Lytechinus pictus: one gene and its partners. The protein of the gene in region 1 interacts with the protein of each later gene in a pairwise test. Links are inferred from orthologs where the notes say so. Each region holds a gene or a part of one and is shown in the gene's direction. Other genes may lie near its edges. The genes, in order: splicing factor U2AF 50 kDa subunit-like, SURP and G-patch domain-containing protein 1-like and U4/U6 small nuclear ribonucleoprotein Prp3-like.

What was found.
Region 2: the proteins of splicing factor U2AF 50 kDa subunit-like (region 1) and SURP and G-patch domain-containing protein 1-like interact in binary tests that used the Homo sapiens proteins (3 or more experiments, as listed by UniProt). The link is inferred for Lytechinus pictus from reciprocal best matches to the Homo sapiens genes U2AF2 and SUGP1.
Region 3: the proteins of splicing factor U2AF 50 kDa subunit-like (region 1) and U4/U6 small nuclear ribonucleoprotein Prp3-like interact in binary tests that used the Homo sapiens proteins (3 or more experiments, as listed by UniProt). The link is inferred for Lytechinus pictus from reciprocal best matches to the Homo sapiens genes U2AF2 and PRPF3.

Annotation. Positions count from the first base shown.
Region 1 is NC_087254.1:7,871,597-7,879,421, reverse strand, and holds the start of splicing factor U2AF 50 kDa subunit-like, read left to right. Parts: upstream 1-4,778; 5' UTR 4,779-4,836; coding exon 4,837-4,915; intron 4,916-7,825. UniProt on the Homo sapiens protein: Plays a role in pre-mRNA splicing and 3'-end processing. By recruiting PRPF19 and the PRP19C/Prp19 complex/NTC/Nineteen complex to the RNA polymerase II C-terminal domain (CTD), and thereby pre-mRNA, may couple transcription to splicing.
Region 2 is NC_087249.1:31,939,091-31,946,941, forward strand, and holds the start of SURP and G-patch domain-containing protein 1-like, read left to right. Parts: upstream 1-4,764; 5' UTR 4,765-4,905; coding exon 4,906-5,135; intron 5,136-5,715; coding exon 5,716-6,047; intron 6,048-6,649; coding exon 6,650-6,835; intron 6,836-7,851.
Region 3 is NC_087247.1:68,145,477-68,153,374, reverse strand, and holds the start of U4/U6 small nuclear ribonucleoprotein Prp3-like, read left to right. Parts: upstream 1-4,885; 5' UTR 4,886-4,890; coding exon 4,891-5,076; intron 5,077-6,332; coding exon 6,333-6,556; intron 6,557-7,021; coding exon 7,022-7,112; intron 7,113-7,882; coding exon 7,883-7,898. UniProt on the Homo sapiens protein: Plays a role in pre-mRNA splicing as component of the U4/U6-U5 tri-snRNP complex that is involved in spliceosome assembly, and as component of the precatalytic spliceosome (spliceosome B complex).

The DNA of each region.
Region 1 (7,825 bases):
ATATGCCCAAGTTGGATATCATCATAGAGATGGATATCATCATAGATATCCATCTCTATGATGATATCCAACTTGGGCATATCATCTCTATGCCCAAGTTGGATATCATCATAGAGATGGACTTTCAAGGTGCATATGCCCGCCCGCCCCCCTATTGGTGGAGCAAAAAAAAAGGAAAAAGTGAAAGGAAGGGGGGGGAATGGAAGGGAAAAGAGAAGAGTAAAAAAGATGAGAAAAGGATGAGGAAGACTAGTGAATAAAATAAGGTGAGGCTGGGTAAGGCTTGGAAAAAAAAACTTTCATATGTCACTATAAAATTTTCGCTCGCGCTTTGCGCTCGCATAGCATGTTTGATGAAATACATAAAATTCTTAAAATATCAAGTTTTGAAGTCAATATACAAAACATATTTCAGCTCCGACATCGAGCTTCCATTATTTTGTTTGATTTACAATTTAATTTTCAAAAAGTGATCTGTAAAATATCCATTTTATTGACTCAGTATCAAAATTTTAGCTCGCATACGTATTTGATTTGTCAAGTATGCTATTCGTGTATTCTCATAATATCCCTTTTCAGGTTTGATTGTCAAAACCTTTCAGCCATAGCGCTATGCGCTCGCATATATATGCCTCGATCTATAATACTAAGTAATTATATAACAAACTACTTAAAATCCCCTTTTTATGACAGTTTAAAAAAATTTCGGCGTGCGATTTGCGCTCGCATAAATTTGATTGATAAACTTATCATGCATCCTATTATTCATAATTACGAAAGTGCTTAAAATGTCCAGTTTTCAGGCCTTATTATTAACAAATTTTACGCTGTCATAGGCATAATTATTAGATTAATTAAGAAAATGATAACATGTCAATGAATTCCTAAATTGTCTCTTTTTTCAGAAAGGGATATCGACAAGTTTTATCTCGCGCTTAGGAGGAATAGGAAGATAGACATCATTTTCATAATTATGACAAAATGTCCTCATGAAATGTCCCGGTCCTAGGCCGGGTCCTAGGTTAAAATAACTTCAGCTCGTGCCGCGCTCGCATCATTTATTAGGTGCGATCCATTTCCATTTCACAATTTTTCTACACCGTGCTTGAATTAGTGCTTAATTAAATTGACACTTTTTGAGATCGGAATATCATATGTTTTCAGCTCACGGTTCGCGCTCGAATTATTGATTTTCATGATTGTACTCATAATGCCCAGATACTATATAAATCAATCTAAAATACACGCACGTGTTTATTGAGATACCCAGCTTGTTCTACATGCTTAAATTATCCAGTTTCAGATTTTAAAATATCAACAATTTTCTGCTCGCGCTCAATTTGCACTCGCATTGTTAATGTAGGAAGATAACTAATTACCCATCCTTTTCATGATTTACAAAACATAGATTAAAATCTTATCCCCCTTTCCCCTGTATTTTGTGTGTGTGGCAATTTCGTACCTTAATTGCATGTTCACTGCATGGCCAGGAAAAGTTAGTTTTGCAAGAAATGACCATGGTACCTAGCCCCCCCCCCCCCCCCACACCCTCCGTTTCAGCCATGTCGGTCAAGCATGAAGAGGATCATATTCCTCTTCATGTTGCTTTACCTTCAAGGCCTTATATCATCTTTATTTTAATTTTATTCTGATGATTTACAGTTCGCCTTTGAGTTTATTCGGATTCTCAACATTTTAATTAGCACTCTTTAATTTAGTTCTGAAAATATTTTCCTCGTGGGAAAAGAAGTGGGGGCACCAGGGGATGTGTGGGAGGGGGGGGACTTGCCACCCACTCATCGAACCGTTGCCCCCCCTCCCTTCCCCAGTTGCCAACAGATTTAGAAAGTTTTTTTTTAATGACTGTTCATTTCTTTAATATTTTGTAAGTAAATAATATTAAAGGTCAATTCCACCCCAAAGGAAAGTTGATTTGAATTAATATAGAAAAATCAAACAAACATGCATAACGCTGAAAATCTCATCAAAATCGAATGTTATGACACTTTAAAATTTCGCTTATTTTTTCACAAAACAGTTATATTCACAACACAGTGATATGCAAATGAGAGAGTCGATGATGTCTCTAACTCACTGTCTCTTTTGTTTTTTGTTGTTTGATTTCGACCGTCTTGTTTTTAACCACAAAATGTTAAAACAGTTGTAATTCCACATGTTCAGGAAGGAATCAAATTTTATATTTCATGCAAAAGAAATAGTGAGTGGATGATGTCATCATCTCCAATGAAAATATTTTTTTGGGGGGCAAACATATCGTTTTGCCCCCCCCCCCCCCAATAATTCCGGATGTGCAAAAATGAAAAGGATTGTAATGTTACACAGAAATCGGCAAGCGAGATTGAGATACACAACTCGATCGTTCTTTATCTAAATCGTGCTCAAAATGTGCGTTTTTCAGAATCGAATGTAAAAAATTTCAGCTCGCGCTTCGCGCTCGCATCATTTCTTTAGCAAAAACCCATACTTTTCATGAATAATAGGTAAATAGAATGTCCCGTTTTCAGGTCTAAACCTCAAAAGAACTCCCGCTTCGATTATCAACAATCTTTTGTTGGATATAAATCCTGTCTTTATTAAAAAGTCCATTAAACTGTCAATTTTTTCAGATCGAAATATCAAAATTTTCAGCTCGCGCTTCGCCATCGCATCTATTGTTCTTTTAGATGCCCATCTTAATCATTGTTACCAAAAATGCTTAAATTTCAAGCTTTCAGGTCAGAATATAAAGAAATATCAGCTCGCTCTCGGCCGGCTCGCATTATCTGTGTAGTGAGATAAAAGTATCCTCCTCATGAGTTACTACAAACAGTCCTAACAGGTACCTTTTTCCTGTTTTCAGGTCAGTATACTAAAAGATTTTCAGCTCGCGCTTCGCGCTCGCATTATAATTTGTTGGTGGGATATGTGTCTCTTTCTCATGAGTCACATATATATATATATATTTATATATAGGCCTATGTGTGTGTGTGTGTGTCAGTGTTCGTGTGGGTGAGTTGTGTGATCGAGCTCCTTTGGAAAGTTCATGATTTTGCCCCCCAATCTGAAAAATGGATCGACGCCCCTGTTTCCTCATTCTGACCAGCATATGTCAAATGTTTTTATAAAATTAAGCGAAACTTTAAAATGTCATGCTGACTTTTTTATTTTTACATTGGATTTTGATGAAATTTTCAGTGTAGTGCATGCTTGTATGATTTTTATCTTTCTATCTAACCCAATTTTTTGATGGGCTGGACTGGACTTGTCCTTTAAAGGACAAGTCCACCCCAACAAAAAGTTGATTTGAATAAAAAGAAAAAAATCCAACAAGCATAACACTGAAAATTTTATCAAAATCGGATGTGAAATAAAAAAGTTATATTTTTAAGTTCAAGTTGGTCTTTAGTGTCAAATCTGTAAAAAATGAAATATTGTATAATTCAAACAATAAAACACGAAAGAAATAGTCAGTGATGGACATCATCGACCGACTCATTTGCATGTCACTAGGTTATGCATATCACTATTTGGGAAAAATAAGCAAAACTTTAAAATGCCATAACTTATTTTACATCCGATTTTGATGAAATTTTCAGCGTTATGCTATAGATTGATCTTTCTTTATTCAAATCAATAGGCTTAGTTTGATTAATTTATAGGCCTACACCGGCATCACTTTTGTAGAGAATGAGTGCTCAGTTACCGAAGGCCGGCTTGAGATCGAGCTTTATCTGAATTGTTGTTTTCTATAGTCTAATAAAATTCAAATAGTGTTCTAGTTCTATTTCATAGTTTCTGAGCAATTTTTATTAAACAAAAGTATACGTACGTGAAGCACTGCGTTGTCTTAATGTTCTTCTTCTCAATTATTTTAATTCTTCTAATTGAATTTTGCATGCGGTCACGTACGGCAGGTCGAGTCCCGTTCCGATTGTATATACAGGCCTAGTATAGATAACCTTTTCTTTCAATTAGTATAGATAACTCATATTAGTGAACACACATATTCTTACAATTTTTAAAGTAATTCTCAGACACTGCATGCATGCATGGATTATATCCACGGACTCCAAAATATAGTTAACATAATTGGCAGGCTCATCCATCACTCGATTTCTCAATAATTTCTATATGGAATTAGATAATTTTTTCTTGATCAGATATGTTTTCTGCCGAATATCAGAGAAGAATAATTGCTTTCAAAGTGGCAAGATAATATAATTAAAGTTTATATTATTTTACTCAGGATCATTTAGGGCTACGCCTATAGTATGATTCGGCAAATATAAGTGACAAGTTCTGTCGCATGGGTGATGTCATTTTGATTCAGAAAAGCAAGCATTTGAGTTTAAAATGGCAAGTTAAGCTTTAATCAGAATAATAGGCTTTCTTAGAAGAGGATAAAACCTCCACGAATTTAGTGTACACGATAATTGCTAGTTGCCTTATATATATTTATTGGCACATTAAAACAGGTGCCTAATCGAGATTCCATTGATCTAATATTAAAAGTAAACAGTCATATTTTCTTCCCCATTTATTTCAAACTTTCACCATTCTATAGTTTCGCCTTCTTTATTTAAAGTTACCATTTAATGATGTATTCAACGCCAACCAAAAGATCAATAAAACGCGACAAATCAAACAAGCATTATAAAACTTCATACGGCTTCGGGGGATAAATATTGTTCATCATCTGGCGTGGTGAATATAATTAGCGCCAATATATTTTAGCACGGGCCTGTAGTAGTGCGGCAATTTCTACACACTCGTACTCGGATCGGAAGTGTAGCACATACAGACATTGAGCGTGTTACACCCGGTCCTGAATGTTGCATGCTGAAAACAACCGCTGAAAACTGGTCTAAAACTCGGGGAAAACACTCAATCATGGACGAAGATGATAGAAAACCAGGTAGGCATTAGTAAGAGTGATGTAAAAAGCATGGAATCTTTTCATTTTAATTTCCAAATACGATAGACGAAATACAAACATGACGGCCATGGCCATGCCAGCCAGTCAGTTTGCGTCGCGTTCATCATGTGTCATTGTGCAGTTGTGTGTGTGTGCTTTGTGGTGCGCTAGTTAGTGCTTGTGTGGGTTGGGGGTGTGTGTGTGTGTAAAGAACCCCTGTGTAAATAGGGCCCTGAGTTCTGGCTTCCAGTTCCACAGCCAGGCACAACTCCTTGTAAAGTTTTTTTGCCAAAAGAACATGATAAAATGGGGCATTATCGTGAAATTGGGAACCAGTTCCTAATTTCCAAAGGACACTTTTTCACGACAAGACATGACCTACCTACCTTTTCGAGCTTGTTCACTGTTTCATTGCAGCTGGCGCGCTGATCACTGAACTAAAAAAACGTGGAATGCGTGTCCCTATTCCCAACGTACACAAAGCCATGCGGCAACGAAGAGCATCGGGCTTCACGCTCGACTGAGCGCGCCGCCATTTTGCTAGGTCAATACTGGCTGGTCGACAAATGCTGCGTGTATATAGGCAGATGGGAGAAAGGAACGCAAAGAAAGTGTTCCTTGTGCTGTTTAAAGTTTTAGTTTGCTTTGTTACATCATGAACTATATGTTATTGAATACTTTCATAACTGAAAATGTTGATTTAGTCACATTTTTTTATTAAAGGGGAGTAAACATACAGACATGAAATCATAAAAAACTCGACCTTTTTCACGCGCACGCTGTGACAAGGAAAGGCCCCACAACAAATATGCTTTCTGAGTAGGCCTATACTAGCTGGTTGCATCAAAAAAATCTTTTAACGATTAGAAATCATGTCCCTTTCTCTAGCTTTTTTTTTAAACCTCCCTTCTCATTCAACTATTAATCTCATCTCATTTTCTCTGATTTTCCTCTTTTTTCCATCTCTCTTATCCTCTCCATCCCCTTCTATTTCTTCCATTTCTACTTTCATGCCCCTCTCTCTCTTATTTCTCCCCTTTATATCATCTCGATCTCCCTCTTTATTATTTTCCTTTCTCTTTGGCTTCTTTCTCTCTGATTCTCCTCTTCTTTCTCATCTCTCTCTTTTACATTCCCACTCTCTCTTCCCCTAATTATATTTTTCTTTTATTTCCCCCATCTCCCTTATATCGAGCCCTCTTTTATCTCCCTCTCGTCTCGCCTTTCTCTCCTCACCTCTTTCTCATTCCTCGATTTCCCCCTCTCTCTCCCTCTCTCTCCCTCTCTCTCTCTCTCTTTCTCTTTGATCTTCCTCTTCTTTCCATCTCTTCTCGTTGATCGTCTGTTTCTTTTTCTCTCTCTCCATCTTTACCATTTTTCCTTTCTCATTTCAACTTTCTCTATATAAATTTTGAGTAAATATTCCCACAAACACACCAAATATCATTATCATTTCTGTTAGATGATTGGATTGCTTTTGTTTGCTTGAAGTTTGAACTTTTTCCTCTTTCCTTTTTATCCTTCATCCTTCTATCCTTGCTTTTTTTTGTTCCATCTACATCTTTTAATATTTCATACCTTTCTTTCCTGATTCTTTCTGTGTTTTAATTTTCTTTCTTTCCTTCTTTCTCCGTATCTGCCATTTTTATTTCCGTCATTCTTTTTTTCCTTATACTTTTATTTACTCCCTTCCTCACCTTTTTCTTTTCGTTTTTCTCTCCTTCCATTATTTTTTTCATTCTATCCTATCTCCAATCTTTCCTCCCTCTCTTTCATTCTTTCTTTCATTCTCTATTTTATTTTTCCTTCTTCTTCTTTCCCCTTATTCTTTCTTTCTTTCTTTCTTTCCCTCCCTCCCTCCCTTCCTTCATTTCCCCTTCCCGTTTTCTTCTTTCTTTGTTTCCTCCTCCTTAATTTTTCTTACTTTTCTTACCTTTATTTTGTCTTTCACACATCTTCCCTTTCTTTCTATATTGGGCGAATTCAAAGAATGACGGAAACCCTTTTTTCTCTTTTATTCTTTCTTTCATCGTCCTTTTGATTATTCTAACTTTCTTTCATTTTCCCCTTCATTTGTTCTTTCTTCTTTATCATTTCTTTTCTTTCGTCTTTTCTTTCTCTCCTTCATTCTTTCGTTCTCCCTCCCTTCCAATTATTTTTATTTTTTTCACAAGTATAACATCGTGTAGCCTTCTTTGATGATCTTTTTTTATCGATTGTCCCGTATTTCATTTTGTGAAATCTGGTCACCCTGATTTAGACCCTTTTTTTAACTACATGAATTACCAGGTCCCGGTACATTGTGCATATAGAAATATGTTTGTACATGATTGGCTTAATGACATTAAAATACACTTTGCCACACTATTAATTTTATATTTATAGAGAAAACATATTGCATCTTGCACATAATATTATTTTCAATTGCCTTCTACGGAACGTTCTCGAACAATTGACCTAGCAAAATGGCGGCGGTCACGTGACTTATCGATTTCGCCGGCGCTGTTTTGCTTGAGTGAACACGACTTCCACGTATTTTTAGTTCAGTGGCGCTGATTCTAGATAAAGTAATCCTTCAAAGAGCTTAGATCAGAAAGATTGATTTCGTCGCAGTCTTTTCTCTACTCGCTAAAATGGGAACCAGCGTGGAAAACTCCCCATAGAGTTGTACACACTGGTTCCCATTTTAGCGAGTAGAGTAAACTAGTTTACTCTACTCGCTGAAATGGGAACCAGCGTGTACAACTTTATTGAGAATTTTCCATATGATAGAGTTGTACGCGCTGGTTCCCATTTCAGCGAGTAGATAAAGACAGATTACTAGTGATATTTATTTTGTTAGTGATGATTCTCTGACGAAATAAAGCTGATTAATAAACTGTCTTTATCTACTCGTGAAAATGGGAACCA
Region 2 (7,851 bases), on another chromosome or scaffold:
TAATATGTAGCTTTTGATTTTAGAGACAATGGACATTTGATTACATTTTTTTAGGAGGGATGAGCAGCTAAGTGTAAAATATGTATGTAGCATTGTATGCAATTTATTTAAAGTATAAAAAAGGATAAATATTAAGCTTTACTTTAGTAAATTCTATCATTTTCAATGTATTTCTTAGATTTGTATACATACAATGTATTACAAAGGCCCTGTGAGCTCTCTTTTTTTAAGAAAAATAAATTCAAATTTTTAGTTGTCAAAGCCAAACGAAAAGGAAAAGAGTGGTCTATTTCTTTCAAAGCAAAACAAAAAACAACCAGGAAAAAAATATAACAAAGCTCTAAACAACAACCAAACAGACATCAAAGCTCCAAACAAACACTAAACACAAGAGAAACAAAAGTGACACAAAAACTTGTACCAATCCCGTCCCCATTTTCCAGTTTAAAACACAACCTCCACCTGCATGAAAAAAAAAAAGAAAAGTAAATTAAAAAAAATAGTAAAATTAACAATAAAAAAAACTATAAATACAGGACTTAGACCCATCTGGAAATGAAATATTCTTTCCTCTGAGTTTCCATGTATTTTCTTACAAGAGTGAAAAAATATTACAACAAAAAATAAACAACTTAAAGTTTGTGCATTTTAATTAAAAAAAATCAACATTTAAGATATTCTCCCTTCAAAAGCAAATCCAGTCTCCAAATAATGAAACATGACCAAAAAAAAATGAAAAAATAAACAAAACAAAAATTTAAAAAAGAAACTAAAAAATATATAAATAAATAAGTATGAAAAAAAACAAACATAATTTTTGCATTTTAATTAAAAAGTCAACATTTATGAAATTTCCCTTTCAAAAGCAGATCCAGTCTCAAAATAATGAAATATGATTGAAAAGTTTCAAAATATTTTTTTATTCTACAAAAGACAAAAAAGAAACACTATAGATTTTGCATTTTAATTTAAAAAGTCAACATTGATATTCCACTTCCAAAAGAATCCAGTTTCCAAAATGATGAAACATGATCGAACAATAAACCATCTTGACTCTGTAACCTTGGGAGGAAAGAATGTTTTTGTGACAAAATGTATGTATATATGTATCAATATCAAAATAATAATCTAGGTATAATGACAGAAATTTCCGAAAAAGGCACAATATAGAGTAAACAATCCAAGATCTAGTTCAATCCAGCATGAACGACTCACTATCGACCGCTCCCATCACCCAGCCAACCGCATCGGGCAGCTCGACTGCCGAGAGACCGGCTGTGACAAGGGTAACCCAAGGGTAGCTCGCTCCTCTTATATCTGGACTGCTAGTCGATAGAATCTCATATTTTTACTTTTCTTTTGACTATTAATATATTTTTTTAGAAGAATTCAGATACATAATTGGAACGTACTTCTACTTACCATCAAAAAATTTAGATCATTTGCACATCCAAAAATTTGATGAACTTTCAAGCTCCGATATCCACACTTAACAGGCGAGTATTCATATTGAAACTTATATGTACAGAAAGTGCACATCTTCAACTATTTGGAAAAAGGCACGAGATTGCATGAACTATGTGCGCATGCGCATTAAACCCCATTTTCGAGGAGCCGCCCAGACAGAGGTGATGCCACTTGCAGCAAAACCCGTGCGAAAACCGTGCAGCCAAAACCAGCGCTCGCGATGCACCCGTATTCGCACATACCTACAAATAGGGCCTAGGCCTATTTTGTTTATTTTAACAGACGAGTAAAATATGTTTGCAGATAATTTATTTGAAATGCGTTTCACATGGGTCATGCCGCATTATAAAAAATGGGTGACACGAAAGACTGTCCTGGCAAAGACCCTTTCGTGCAATCGGCCCCAGGTCAGGAGTCAACCGTGCAAAACGAGGGAGACAATGGGGTAGATTGGGGTCTCAATGGTAAATCTTTATAAAATGTGGAAACAGAAATTATTATGCCATTACCACGATTATATGGATGAAGGTCTATCGTGACACACAAATCCTGACATCGAGGCACAGACTGGGAATTAAACCTAAAATAAAAAAACCCCGAAAAGTTCTGTCGGGATACCTCTCCTTTTTTCTATTCAAAACAAAATGGCCGATCGAGACCGACAATAGAGGCGCACGGCCAATATGGGAGACTCTCTTCAATAGGGGAGACAATCTCCCACCTTGGAGACTTGCTTTGCAAAAGGACAAAAGAAACAACACCAACAAAAACATGATTTTTTCCACCCAAAATTTTGTCTCACTGAGGTCAGATGCCCATTTGTTTTGTGTGTGATTGACAACAAAAATCCTTATCAAAACAAAAGTAGATGGTGAATTTTTAAAGTAGACGGTGAAAAGGGGTAATTTTTCATGAGGAATCTGCCCATCACATTTTCATTTGCCGCCAAGGTAATCCTTTTGCAGCAAATGTAAACAAAGGAAATTGATCTCCAAAACTGGAGACTGTCTCTGAAATTGGATACCCAAATTCTTTACAAAAGTCTCTAAATATTGGAGATATTCTCCCACATTGGAGACAGTCTCCAATATTGGCCGTGCGCCTCTACTGACCGAGGCTATATTTTGTTTTTTTGAGGTTCCAGTCTGTGCCTCGATGTCAGGATTTGTGTGTCACGATAGACCTTCATCCATATTGGTAAGTGCATAATTTCTGTTTCCACATTTTATTAAGACTACTTATTGAGACCCCAATCTACTCCAGTCCCGTGTCCCCCTTGGCAAGAGTTCCATATGCACCCCCACTAAAATAAAAAAATAAAAACATGGAGAAGGTTCAGAATAATATATCTAGCCATAATATAGAACATATATGATGGGGGAGTGGAAATACATACCAAAATATGGCTTTATTCCGTCAAATTTCGAGCAGGATCGAGTGCGTGTAATTGTCCATAGATATCGGTTTATTTAGTCAGTAAGGGTCTGTGACTGAGTGTAGACTAGTCGAACTATCGGCTGATAATCGTTAAAATACCCCTTCAGGTATCAGCACTTCTCGCTAGCATAGCGGGAAGAGGTCTTGACTGCAGATAAAACGAGGTGAGTTCGAGTCAACTAAGGTAAGCAACAGTAAAAAATTAATAGAAAAATCTGAGATGAACGAACCGGAAGTCTCAACAATCTTGTTATTTTTGGTGGGGGGTGCATATGGAACTCTATCCTCTCCCTCGTTTTGCACGGTCGGCTCCTGGGTTACCTTATCGGTAGACAGCTGGCAGCCGTCTGTTTCGAGGAGTTTTTAAAAACATTTTTATTTCTCCTCGTACACAGATGGCTGGCGATCGTGCAGCCACCATTGGGGGTTAACAATGCAAAATCCCCCCGACGGGGCTTATCGATTTTTGTCTTACAGTCTTTATTTCATAAAAATATATAAAAAGAAATGGACCAAAATAAAGATTGTTATTCTGTTTTAGCCTGAAATGCACAAAAACAGGAAAAAATAAACTTAAAAGAGTTACTTCTGCAGTCGCGCAACTCCTACTTCCCTGGTTTATCCGAAATTAATACATAAACATAAGGTCATTGAGTTCCTGTACAGATCGAGTTAGAACTTTGGTCTCTGTAATTGGTGAGTGGAGCCAACGGAGTTCAGCGGAACAACCAATTAATAGAGACCGAAGCTTTTGGTCTACTTAAGTACTAGCGTACTAGCACGACCCTAGACAGCTGGCAGCTGTCTGTTTTGAGTTTTTTAACAATTAATTTTTTTTATATTTCTCCTCGTACACAGACGGCTCGCGATTGTGCAGCCGCAGTTAGGGCCCTTTTTAGGGGGTTAACAATGCAAAACCCCCTGACTGGGCTCATTGATTTTCGTCTTCATTTCATAAAAATATATAAAAAGAATCGGACCAAAAAAAGGCAAAATTAAGATTATTAGGGTCTATTCTGTTTTGGCCTGAAATGCACTAAAACGGGGGAAAAAAACTTAAAAGGGAAAAACAGTGACTTAGGCTGTGGCGCAACTCCCACTTACCTGGTTTATCCGAACTTAATACATAAACATATGATATGATTGCCAGCCAGAGAATTGAAATGATGCAGTGTTAAGATTAATTGAGTGGCCCATTGACATTGCGCAACTGCTTTGAGGGCAGCGTAACCATTGGCAAATTTTTCTTGTAGTTCCTAAAAAAACTTCTTGTCTTTTAATTTGTGACGTATAGTAAGATTTTAATAATTATTTTGTCAAAACATGCAGAATGATAATGTTAACATCATTCGGCAAAAAATGTTTTTCTGTTGTTTAGCGATGGCTTCTGTGGTAGAACCAATTGGGCAGAACATCTCACGCAAAATGATATAATATTCCGCATTTATATAGCGCTTAATACATCGGAACGACGTCTCTAAGCGCTTTACAGACATATCATTACCCCGGTCATCGGATCCTTGCATGTCTGCATACAATGTATGCACCTTCTCCACTCCCTGGGGAGCATTCCAACAAGAGTCCCAAGACTCAATTGCTAGGCATACTACATATAGGCTTTCACATCCTACCGGGTACCCATTTAACACCTGGGTGGAGAGTGGCAAAGTGTGGATTAACGCCTTGCCAAAGGACGCTAGGCCATGGTGGGATTACTGAAATGGTGGGATTACTGAAATGGAAAGAAAATATAGAAATGGCTTCATGCGTCACATTTGCTCTGAGTAGATGCAAGACAATTAAACAATGCACCGTGGCAAATGTCTTTGGCCAACAGCAGTGCTGATTAGACATTTCTGTATTTCATTACACATGTAAATGTTTACAATAGCAATAACTGGAGAATTTGAATTTCCTTGCAATTTCCGATCTCCTGCCAGGTTTTATGATTGGTCAACCTTCACACCAGGAGTGAGGAGTACCACTTGACTGTCTCTGACCATGGCATTCTCTTTCAAGCATGGTGCGGACAAAGGGGCTGCCAAGGCCAGCTTCCAGGATAAAATGAAGAGCTTGAGTGATCAGGAGAGGATGCTTTTGCAAAAGAGACAGGAAATTGAGAGGAAGATGGCCCAGAAGAAGAAAGAAGCAGCAGCAGCAGCCTCCCAAGCTGCCGCTGGAGCAAAGACAAAGACACCTCCTGGTGGTGCTACTTCAGCTTTAGCCCGATTGTAAGTTGTGTGCCTTGTCATTCGTGTGTGTTATTCTTTGTTTTTCCTGACCTTCACAAAAAGAAAGTAATAATAATCTGAAATGATATTTAATCTGACATTATTTCTAGTTGTAGATGACAAGATGCAGATTTCGTCTATTTCACTCAGTTTAAAAAATACTTAAGCTCAGACTCTTGTTTAATTGCTAACTTCCCAAACAAAATAATCTTTCCTTGATGGGTAATATAAGTTTCTTTTTGTTTTTAATGGTTAGAAATAAAAAATTACTACTTTTTGCTTGTAAAAGTATGAAATAATTTGGGTTTGAAATGCGTGTTTTAATAGGCACATGAATTGTATCTGCAGAGATAGAAGAGATGTGTGGCTGTACATGTATGATTGTCCACAAGCTAAAAAAGGCTTAGAAGTGGCATTTTTTTTAAAGACTAATGTTCTTTAAAAGAAATGATTTACTGCATATGACTGTTTCAATATGAAAAAAGGCTTGAAAATATTAATGCACTTACTTAATTATTTTCATTTATGAAATGCATTGTTCTTATTCTAAATATGGAAATGCAATTGTGTTTGATATTAGTAACCAATCGCGGAAGACAGCGGTCACATCAAATACGAATGCCACTCAATCCAAACCACCAGCTGCTCCTAGTCCTATCCAAAATAATACCTTTTCAAACGATGGCAGCTTCATGGCTCAGTTTATGAAAATGCAACAAGAACAACAGAAGAAGAAAGCAGAATCGATGGCAGCGATTAGTCAGCAGCCCCCACCACCACCCCCTCCTGCCACACACACTGCGCCGCCAGCCCAGCAGAGCTTCTACCCACCGTTGGGTGCACAAATGAGGCACTTTGCAGAAGAGAAGGCAACACTGGAGAGTATACCTCTGCCGCCCACCCCTGAAGCAGGTACAGATTTATGCAGAAATGCGTTTGTTCCCAGCTCTAGAAGTACCCATGAAAGTTTAAAATGAAATACAGTTTAGGAAATGATTCTTAGATCACTTTCCTACTCACCTCCTGTATGGTCTGGTGAAATGATTATTTCCCATGCTGTATAGTTTCTGAGGATTGTTCGTATGTTATGTTTGCATTTAATTTCAAAAGTAATAGTCATTTACATTTGTTGATTATGCACATTTGTGATGTCAATCTTTTGATGATCAATTGCAGGCATGAAGGAGAGCTGAATCTTGAAACGGTCTAGGCATAGGCTTACGTGTAGATGTCATATCGTATGAAGTCTATCACAAACTTTGAATGTTTTCGTAAATTAGGCTGTTTGAATACTAATGGAGTATTGCACTATTTCATTTCTGACGAAGTCTCGGTCTCTGTGTATTTCTCTCTATCCCTCTGTCTCTATAAGACTATATTTCTGTCTCAATGTCACTTAGCTCTTCTCTTGTTCCATGTCCTATTCTCATTTTCTTCCCTCTTTCTTCCTTATCGCATGGTATTACATTATATATCTGATCTTAATTTGCCCTTTTCTTCCTCTCTTTTCCCAGTGCCCCAACCCAGTAAAGCCAAGTCACCCACCAGCCCTGTACCCCCAAACAGACCCAGCACGTCCGCCGTCCGGGCCAAGATTAGAGAACAGCGGGAGAGGCAGATAGCCAATGTCTTTGGTGACTCCAGCTCTGATGAGGAGGATGAAGGACAGGGAGTGTCCGTAAAACAGGCTTCTGATGATGGTAAGTTGATTGTCCTCATTACAGGCTTGTTCAGAGATGATTTGACAATCCCCACATGTCTTAATTTTGCGATCTGGTAAAATAATGACATATTGGTCATTCCATTGGGTTGGCGCATTTTTGTGACATACTGAAAAATAAACTGGAAAAAAAAAAATTGTGTCTCATTTAAATTTGGCAAATTCCTGCCAATAATTACTTCAGCAAAAATTGGAGTATCACTAAGGTTTACTAATCAAACATGTATTGCAAATTCAGACCGGTCAGTCTCTTGCCAATGATATATAAATGCAGTGTCCTGTAATGTTTAAAAAAAAACAAAGATTTCAAATTCAAACATGGATTACTGTGGTAGGGACCTTCCTTACATTGACACATCAAACCTTAACTATATCTGAATTGACATTCATTGTGAAATGAAATGGTTGATTCCTACATACAGTATCTTACATGGACATTTTGAATTTTGTGACATCAATCAAATGGATTGACCCATATACATGTATATTTTTCAAATATATACGTCAAATTTTCTTGTAGATCTTGTGTGAAGATTAGCACTGTCGGTGTGAGAACATGTTGAAATTAATTTGTGGTTTTGCCAGATCCACAATCAACCATAGGTTGAATCACTTTCCAAATTTTGTATTAATTTATATACATGTAGTATGTATGTGTCATTTTTTAAACCTAACCTTCTTGTCATGTAGTAAATGCATTTGTCATGCATGTAGACAAGCTTTAAGTTGCCATTGTTTTGTTGAGTTTTGAATGAATTTAGCTCAACAGGATATATCATGTTGTAAAGAGCTGAAATAGATATTCAAACTGTAACATTCCCATCATGTATGGTCTTTATAAAGAGGCAGGCTCTATTTTTATTGGTGGGGGGGGGGGGGGTATAGCAAATTTCTCATTTTCAGTGCATGTGTTGAATAAGTGTGTGTTTTAGATAAAATGATGGGGCTGAATAGCTCCCAATCAAATCCTGGTCCTAATCCATATATTCAGAGATT
Region 3 (7,898 bases), on another chromosome or scaffold:
ATCAGGTATATTCAATGGGAAGGGGTATAAATGGTTTAACCACTATAAAAAAAATGAAAGAAAAAAAAAATTAGAAAACGGCAAAAGTTATATCTTGAAAAAACAGTGTGAGAAAAGTCCTTCCCTATATTTGCCAAAATGCTGGAAAAATTCACATTTCATATCAATGAAATGCCTTCCCAAAGTATTTACTTCCTCAAGAGTGGTTTAAGAAGTCATTTATAAACAAGAAAGAAAGAAAGAAACTGTCTGTTTATTTTTGGCTAGAAAAGACACAGCTTCGAAAGAAACCAAGTATCAACATACATACAAATGCACACTTGGGACTATGATGTACTCACCTATGTGTTTTATGTTTATTATTATTAATGCATTTGGAAATCGGTCTTTTTGAGTCAAAAGAGAGGTCATAATTCCTCTTTTTAATGCTGGCAAATAATCAGGTTACACCAGATTTTAGTAATGTGGACTGTAGAAGGGCATTTAATTGGTGTAAAATGCGACTTTGACGTAGATTTTCAAAGTTCTGTGGGAGATTTGTTAGCAGCAACATTTTGAATCGCAGCTCCCCGAGTCTGAATAGTCTGCTAGCGCACAGTACACAGCTAGCTGCAGTGGTTTCATGCATGCAAAGCTGACGGCCGGCGCGGCCGGATAATAGTTACTGTATGCTATAGCGGTAGGCCTACATACAGTCATGACTATGCAATCTTTGTGTGTGTGTATTTGTGTAGATTAACAAAAAGGGCGCATGACGAATTGGCTTGCAATTTGAACTGTAGAAAGTTGATAAATGCGTGCAAAATCGGGAGAAAAATTGCGCTCCTTTGAAAATTATTGGTTGCCCGATTCAGGCCACCAAAACTTAACATTTTTTTAATGATGGTTGCCCGAGGTGAATTTCTGGTGGCCCCGGGCCACTGCTAATGTCGAGCCTTGGATAAGTAATACAGTGTGCACTGTCTAACAATCAAAACAACTGGAAGGAGGAAATAAGATCAGTTGTCGGATTTGCCGTTAACGGAAAGTAGAGGCTTAAAAATTATTTTAGTGCCTCATACTTGTTTTCCAACCTTTCTTCAGACCACTTGCACTCTGCAACCACCCTGTCTTTGGTGAGTCTATGCAACATACAAACACACAAAAAAAAGTCTTTAAAATATCACTTTTGTAAAAAACAACACCCAGTTCCATTCAGTTATGATTTTTTCATTATAGACTTACAGTGTAGGAACCATTTTTTTATTCACCAGAGCGCTCAAAAACTTAAATTTTGAGTATATTTTTGTGACGACCTCTTTTGGTGAAAAACTGAAATTGATGCAGATCTCCATCTCCACAGTCTCTTTTTTAATGGCAAAAAGAAGCTGCTGAAAACTGCTTATCTAATAAAAGAGAGCCAATGGAGTAAATTAGAAAGTCAAAAGGGGCCTAAGCTTTCGATCCTAGCAGAATCTTCGTCAGAGGCAAAATGATGCTCATTTTGCCTTCGACGAAGATTCTGCTATGATCGAAAGCTTAGGCCCCTTTTGACTTTCTAGTCTCTTTTTTAATTAGAAAAAATTAATTTCAAGAATTCAATTGAGTTTTGGGCCAAAAAATAAAGTATTTATTCATTCCAGATCAAGAGAAAAAAAAGCAAAACATTGACAATCTTATTCATGTAATTTCACCACACAGTGGTTTCTGAGGACAAGGTTATCATAACCTTGTACATGGGATAAATGCTCGTAATCAGTTCTAAAATCGACAAGAAAATTAGCCTACCTGAAAAAGCTCTGGATGCCCTGACTCGATGACCTCACTTTAACCATCTCCTTGTGCTTATCAGAAGAAATGTGTCGAAGGCATGTCATTTCTTCCTCAAAACTTTATAGATACATCGACCAAGCAAACTGAGCAAAAAGCATGATACTCTCCTCTCTTTGATCTTGTCACACAGTCCCATTCCACTTGAAAATTATCTTTATACTTCGAAAAGTATTTTGTATTCTTGGTCTTGGATGACTCCATCTCCATGGTCACTGACGATGCGATTGTAGTGTGGATGAATCGGGACGGGCGTGCTTCGCACAGCCAGCCAGCGCCAGGCCAGCTCACTCACGAAAGAGAAAATGTTCGAATCCGATCAACCCAAGTGAAAGTAGGCGAAAAATTCTCAACTTTGCTTCTGTTCTTCAGGATTGTCAATAAAGTGAAAGTCGGGGTGTAGTTATAATAGTAATCCACTTGTAAATCCCATCGTTGATCCACAGTTTCAGCTCGAATAAAGCGCACACAAGCGTATGAAAAATGCCTCGCAGTGCTCGTGGACTTCCCTTCTCATAGCCTCCTGGCGCGGCGCGGCCGGCTGGAGACCAGGCAGGGTCGCATCGGGGGGCATGTGCATGGAGTGCCGCTGAAGTGTTTCCATCACACACATTGCAGAACCAGAAAAAAAATGGCAAGTTAGACTAATTCACCAGTCGTTCAGTAAAGTTATCTTCATTTACATTGGAAGTCAATGTACGAGTATACAAAAACTGGTAAAATTTACTGGGTAAAATGAAAATGTGATAAGGAGGATCCACGTGGGTGTAAGGGAGTTGAAAATGCTAGACTCGTAAAACAGTCGTTTGTATGAATTTTACAATTTAACAGCTAAAAATCCTGATTATCCCGGAGATTTTGGCATGGGGTCGGGAGAATGGGAGATTGGATGGCAATCCAGTATTCTTCCGCAGGATCCGGGAGACTCGGAAGCTCTGGATTACACATGAGGGCTCGCACTAACGTACTACCGTCGGTGAATGGGGATGATAGTAAAATGTCAGAAATTGTTAAATAAATCCCCAGAAACGACGGTTATTCCTGTCTAACCACTGGCGTGCTTAAAGGTATTGTTTAACTTTGTGAGCAGCCGATTTAAAAAATTCTCAAACCAAGATGATACATGTGTACAAGTGCATGTATTAGAACTAATAAACCCTGAAAACAACCATTATTGAGAATGAAAAGCTAGAACTACAAGGCAAACCCCGATTTTGTAAATAGGCGTCTTATAGACGCCTAAATAGTACACATAAGTGTATGGGATGAAATTAAGATGGTGTTTTCGGTCACTTTATATTTCAATTTTTGAAGCATTTTTTTTCTGGGCTTCATTTTTGTAACATATCACAGACACAGGTGACAAGTGTGACCTTCTAGCTCAGATTTTTTTAAAGTCTCGCGATCGTGCAGCCGCCATTAGGGGGTCAACAATACCAAAAAAAATAAAACGGGGGTTTTCGATTTTTGTCTTTATTTCATAAAAATATATAAAAAGAACTGGACCAAAATAAAGATTAATATTCCATTTTGGCCTTAAATGCACCAAAATGGAAAAAATAAACCTAACAGGAAAAAAACAGTGACCTACTTCGGCTGTCGCGCAACTCCCACTTCCCTGGTTTATCCGAACTTTATACATAAACATATGGCCATTGAGTCCCTGTACAGATAAAGTTAGAACTTCAGTCTCTGTAATTGGTGAGTGGAGCCAACAAAGTTCAGCAGAACATTCAATAAAACAGAGACTGAAGCTTTTGGTCTAGGATACCATTGCACTTACACGCACCGAGTAAAATACTTGCATCGGCCGATAAATATCATAAATCTTACCTCAGTCCTAGATCCCACTTCAACTGGTCTAGCGTGAGGAATATTTTAGCATTATTGGTGGCAAAATACTTGGTGCGTGTAGTGCAATGGCATCCCGTCCCTGGCTTCATGGAGATTAAGCACGTCATTGGTATGACTTCAATCTCCAGGAGCCTCCTGGCCTGGGGGTGGGGGGTTCAAGAGTATATTGGCAGTATTGCTTTGTGTGGATATGTGTAGATCTAAAAGTTAGATCAACAACTTCCGTTTGAATGGACGATTCAACCCCATCCAGCAGAACATGGATTCGAATGAAAAGAGACAAATCTAATGTCTACAAAAGTAAAAACCCTGAATATTTCATCAAAACCGAATGTAGAATAAGAACGTTGTGATGATTTTAGATTTCACTTGAAGTTTCACTTCAAGATCACAAAACAGTTGTACTACTGTAGAGTCTATGCATATCCACTCGCACTAGTGCAAGGTTAGTTACTATTCTAACCTTGCACAAAGAACCACGTTTGGCAGTGGATTTCTAAAGTTAGTGGGTCGTGCATGCTGCGACGTCACTTCTGGCGTGCACAACACACGACTTCTATGGCTTGATTTTTCTGTGCGCGGCGGCATGTAATGCAATGAACCCTTGAGTGATGCATATACTAGTCCTCATGCAATGAAGCACCCAGCAATGTCGTCCATTTAATATTTTTTTAATACATTATGAGCTCTAGTCTAGAGTCTATATAAAATATTTGTGAAATGTCTTCCTATTTTTCATCATTCGAGTTTCAAGATCTATGTGAAACACAACTTGATTTTCCCTGACAATCTGGGAATGCTTTTTTTACATTTTTTGTTGCAATGTTGTCTTTCATCATCAAGCGGCTTTTATGGCTAATCTGACATTCCTTATGATCTCAACAGCTCAAGAGTACATGTAAGTGTGGCAAAAAATTTGTCAAAGATGAAGTCTAGAGCTCAAACAAAATAAATTAATTTCTTCTGAAAATCTGAAACTGAAGTCTCTCATATTTTTTAAATTGAAAAACATTGAAGCCCCATATCTGCTGAACCATTCATTTTATACACAATTCAGAGGATTTGATGAGGGAGACTGTAATGGATGCCTTTACAAGTTTACATGTTTCTGAAATGCCTTTTAAAATTTTTCACTATTTTATCTCTGTAACCTATTGCAGATGTAAAATTTTTGGTCATTACGTGTCTGATTAGAAAAAAAAATCTCCTTTCTTTTTTTATTAAGATATGTTAAAGCCCTTGCTGGAAGACTCGGCTGAGAGGTTTGTGGAGACCCTATTTGCAGATGTAGCAGGTTTTCAAGGTGGAAGTAAAGCTTCAAAGAGAACCAGTAAAGATGATGATGGATATGAGGGACACAAGAAGCGTTCTAAATTCTCTCACTTTCCCGGTGAAGACGAGAATGGAGTCAAGGTAACAATAAGCTGTGGGAAACAATACATTCCTTAAATTTACCTTATAATTTTTGTTACGTGATTACCATATTTTACATGTATGTTACTGGGGGATTTTTTAACATTCTATTCAAATGAAGTCCTGAATATGACTGTAAACCAGATTAGATGAGCTGAATATGGCTTGAGTAGCGATGGTTTGAGTAGTAGCAGGTTGAAGTGAAGAGAGGTTACTCGACGTTTCGGGCAGGTTGACTGTCCATCTTCAGGAGTCTTCACTTCAACCTGCTACTACTCAAACCATCAATACTCAAGCCATATTCAGCTCATCTCATCTAGTTTACAGTCCTTTTTCAGGACTTTACTCACTTTCAAGAAAAGATTACCTCTAATTTCCTCTTTTCATCCTTTCTCGTCTTTCCATTTAAATTTTCTGCCTGTATTTCCTCTCCCTTCTTCATATTAAACATTGTGAACCGTAAGCCTTCTCCACATTATAAACTCCACCATGCAAACCTACTTCTTTTTTATTCTTTATTTGATTCTAATCTAATCTAATTTAATATAATTTAATATAATTTGTTGTCATCTTCAACAACTGTATAGTTGTATTTTACTATTTTGTATTACATGTATGTTATCTTTGTAAAGTCACATGGATTGGAAGACCTTCGGGTTATAGTTATTTAGTTAATCTTTTTCCTTTCCCGGCATCCATGTGACTCTCCTTATCCTATTGTTTGTATATGTTGTTTATGTGTTTGATTATAATAATAATTTTAAAAAAAAGATCATCTGCCTGCTTCATTAGTTCAATAAATTAATATTTTCCCTGATGAATTTTTACAGTAGAAGTAGGCTATAAAATAGTGATGTTTCAGTTTGCTAAAGGGCATCAGCTTAAATTAAGAAGGTTGTTCTTCTGAGCATGATACCTCATGAAAAATCGTTACAAAATTGAGAAAGTGCCGCCCAAAACACAATTTTGGTCCCATGGGACCACTCCTCATTTAAAACGTGTATGTTATAATTTTTTTGACATATTTTGTAACATTTTTAGCAATAAATCCAGCTTAGCTATGCAACATAAGATAACATCATATTTTACCATTGTGCAAATTTTTTTGTCATGGTCACATGATTTGAGACCAAGATCTTAGGGGGCATAATAAGGACTCAAAATAACCTGGGATTATTAGACTTAAGTCCTGCTATATTACTAAAGTAAGGAAAGTACTTGGAACTAATTAAATGAATGTATTTTACCTGACACAGTTTTCAAAGAGTCAGCCCGAGGCTCTGAGAAATGATGCTCTGGAGAAAGCCAAGAAAGCTGCTGAGATACAAGCACGCATACAGGCAACTATGATGAGTGCTGGGTTAGGTGGTTTGAAACTACCACCTATGCCTGGAATACCACAAGCACCTGCAATACCTAAAGTACCAGCTCCTAAAGAAGATACCAGTCAGACTAAACCACCACCAGCTGTTCTCACTAAGTGAGCAAACAATAATTATCAATAGCTTTCTCTCATATTGAATGATTCTGTATTTTTCTGTTTTAGATTAAAAATAAATCATATCTCAAACAATCCTTTGTTTACCCCTCCTCCCAGGGCCCTGGGAACGATTTTGTAAGTGGAGGTGCTGATGTAAGTTTGAAAAGTAAAAAAAAAAAAGTTTCTCTACAAAATGGAAGTCACAAAAAATTAAGTTAATTTTGGTTACATTTTTCAATTTTTACACATCTCTCAGAATACCTTAGGGTGCTGCCTGTGGAGAATAATACACACAGCACCCCCAAGGAAAATGTTGGGGGTGCTTCAGTAACCCTGCTTCCCAGGGCCATGCCCTCTCCCCCTTGAATGATAATAAGCTCAAAGTGATAAAACATTTTCTGATCCTCTCAAAGAGATTCTGGTTATTCATATTAATTATTCTTTTTTCTTTTTTTGTGTGCTTAGACCAGCACCATTGATTCTTGATGATCAAGGTAGAACAATTGATAAATCAGGACGTGTTATCATACTACCGCAACACAGACCAACAATTAAGGTAAAGCTTCCACAATTTACGTTTTATCTTTGATACATAGAATGTACAACTTGATGAGAAGGGTAATGTTGTTTTTATTTTATGTACATGTATGTGGTAGGCTTGTCAAATGAAATGAAACATCGTGCAGAGAGTTTTAAAGATATGTGAAGATATGTTATATATATTTCAGTCTATTCAATTGAATAAAGTTTAATAAGAAAAGTAATTGAAAAGGGGGGAACACAATGTAAGCTACATGTATGCTTGATTATTCTGATTTTCTTCTGGAGGAAAAAAAATCATGTTAAGAGCAATGATGACTTTATTACTCATAATCAGAAGAAGAGTAAAATGATTTTTGTATTTTTCCACTTTCAACAAAGGATAAATAATTTATTACTTTAGAGTTTGGATACCTGTAGGGACAGTCATTTTCCATTATACTGGTAAATAAAAAGGAAATTCCATTTTGTTCTTACACTTTTTATGTAAAAATTCATGGAATTTAGGTTTTTGCTGTATACATTTTCAGTGACAAAACTGAATTTCCATTTTTAGATCAAGTTGAAACGGAATTACAGATTTTCAGACATGGAAAATACCATTTTTTAAAATGGAAATTCACTGTCTCTATACCTTTCATTATCATTCAAATAGACTCTTGCATGTTTTAAAGGATGAAAATGTTTTAGACTGTGAAATAGTGAATGTGAATAGAAGTTTTTTGTGCATTCTTAAAATAAAATTATATTACTTTTCTTGTCCCATTTATACTGTCCAATGTGAAGGCTAACATCAGAGCCA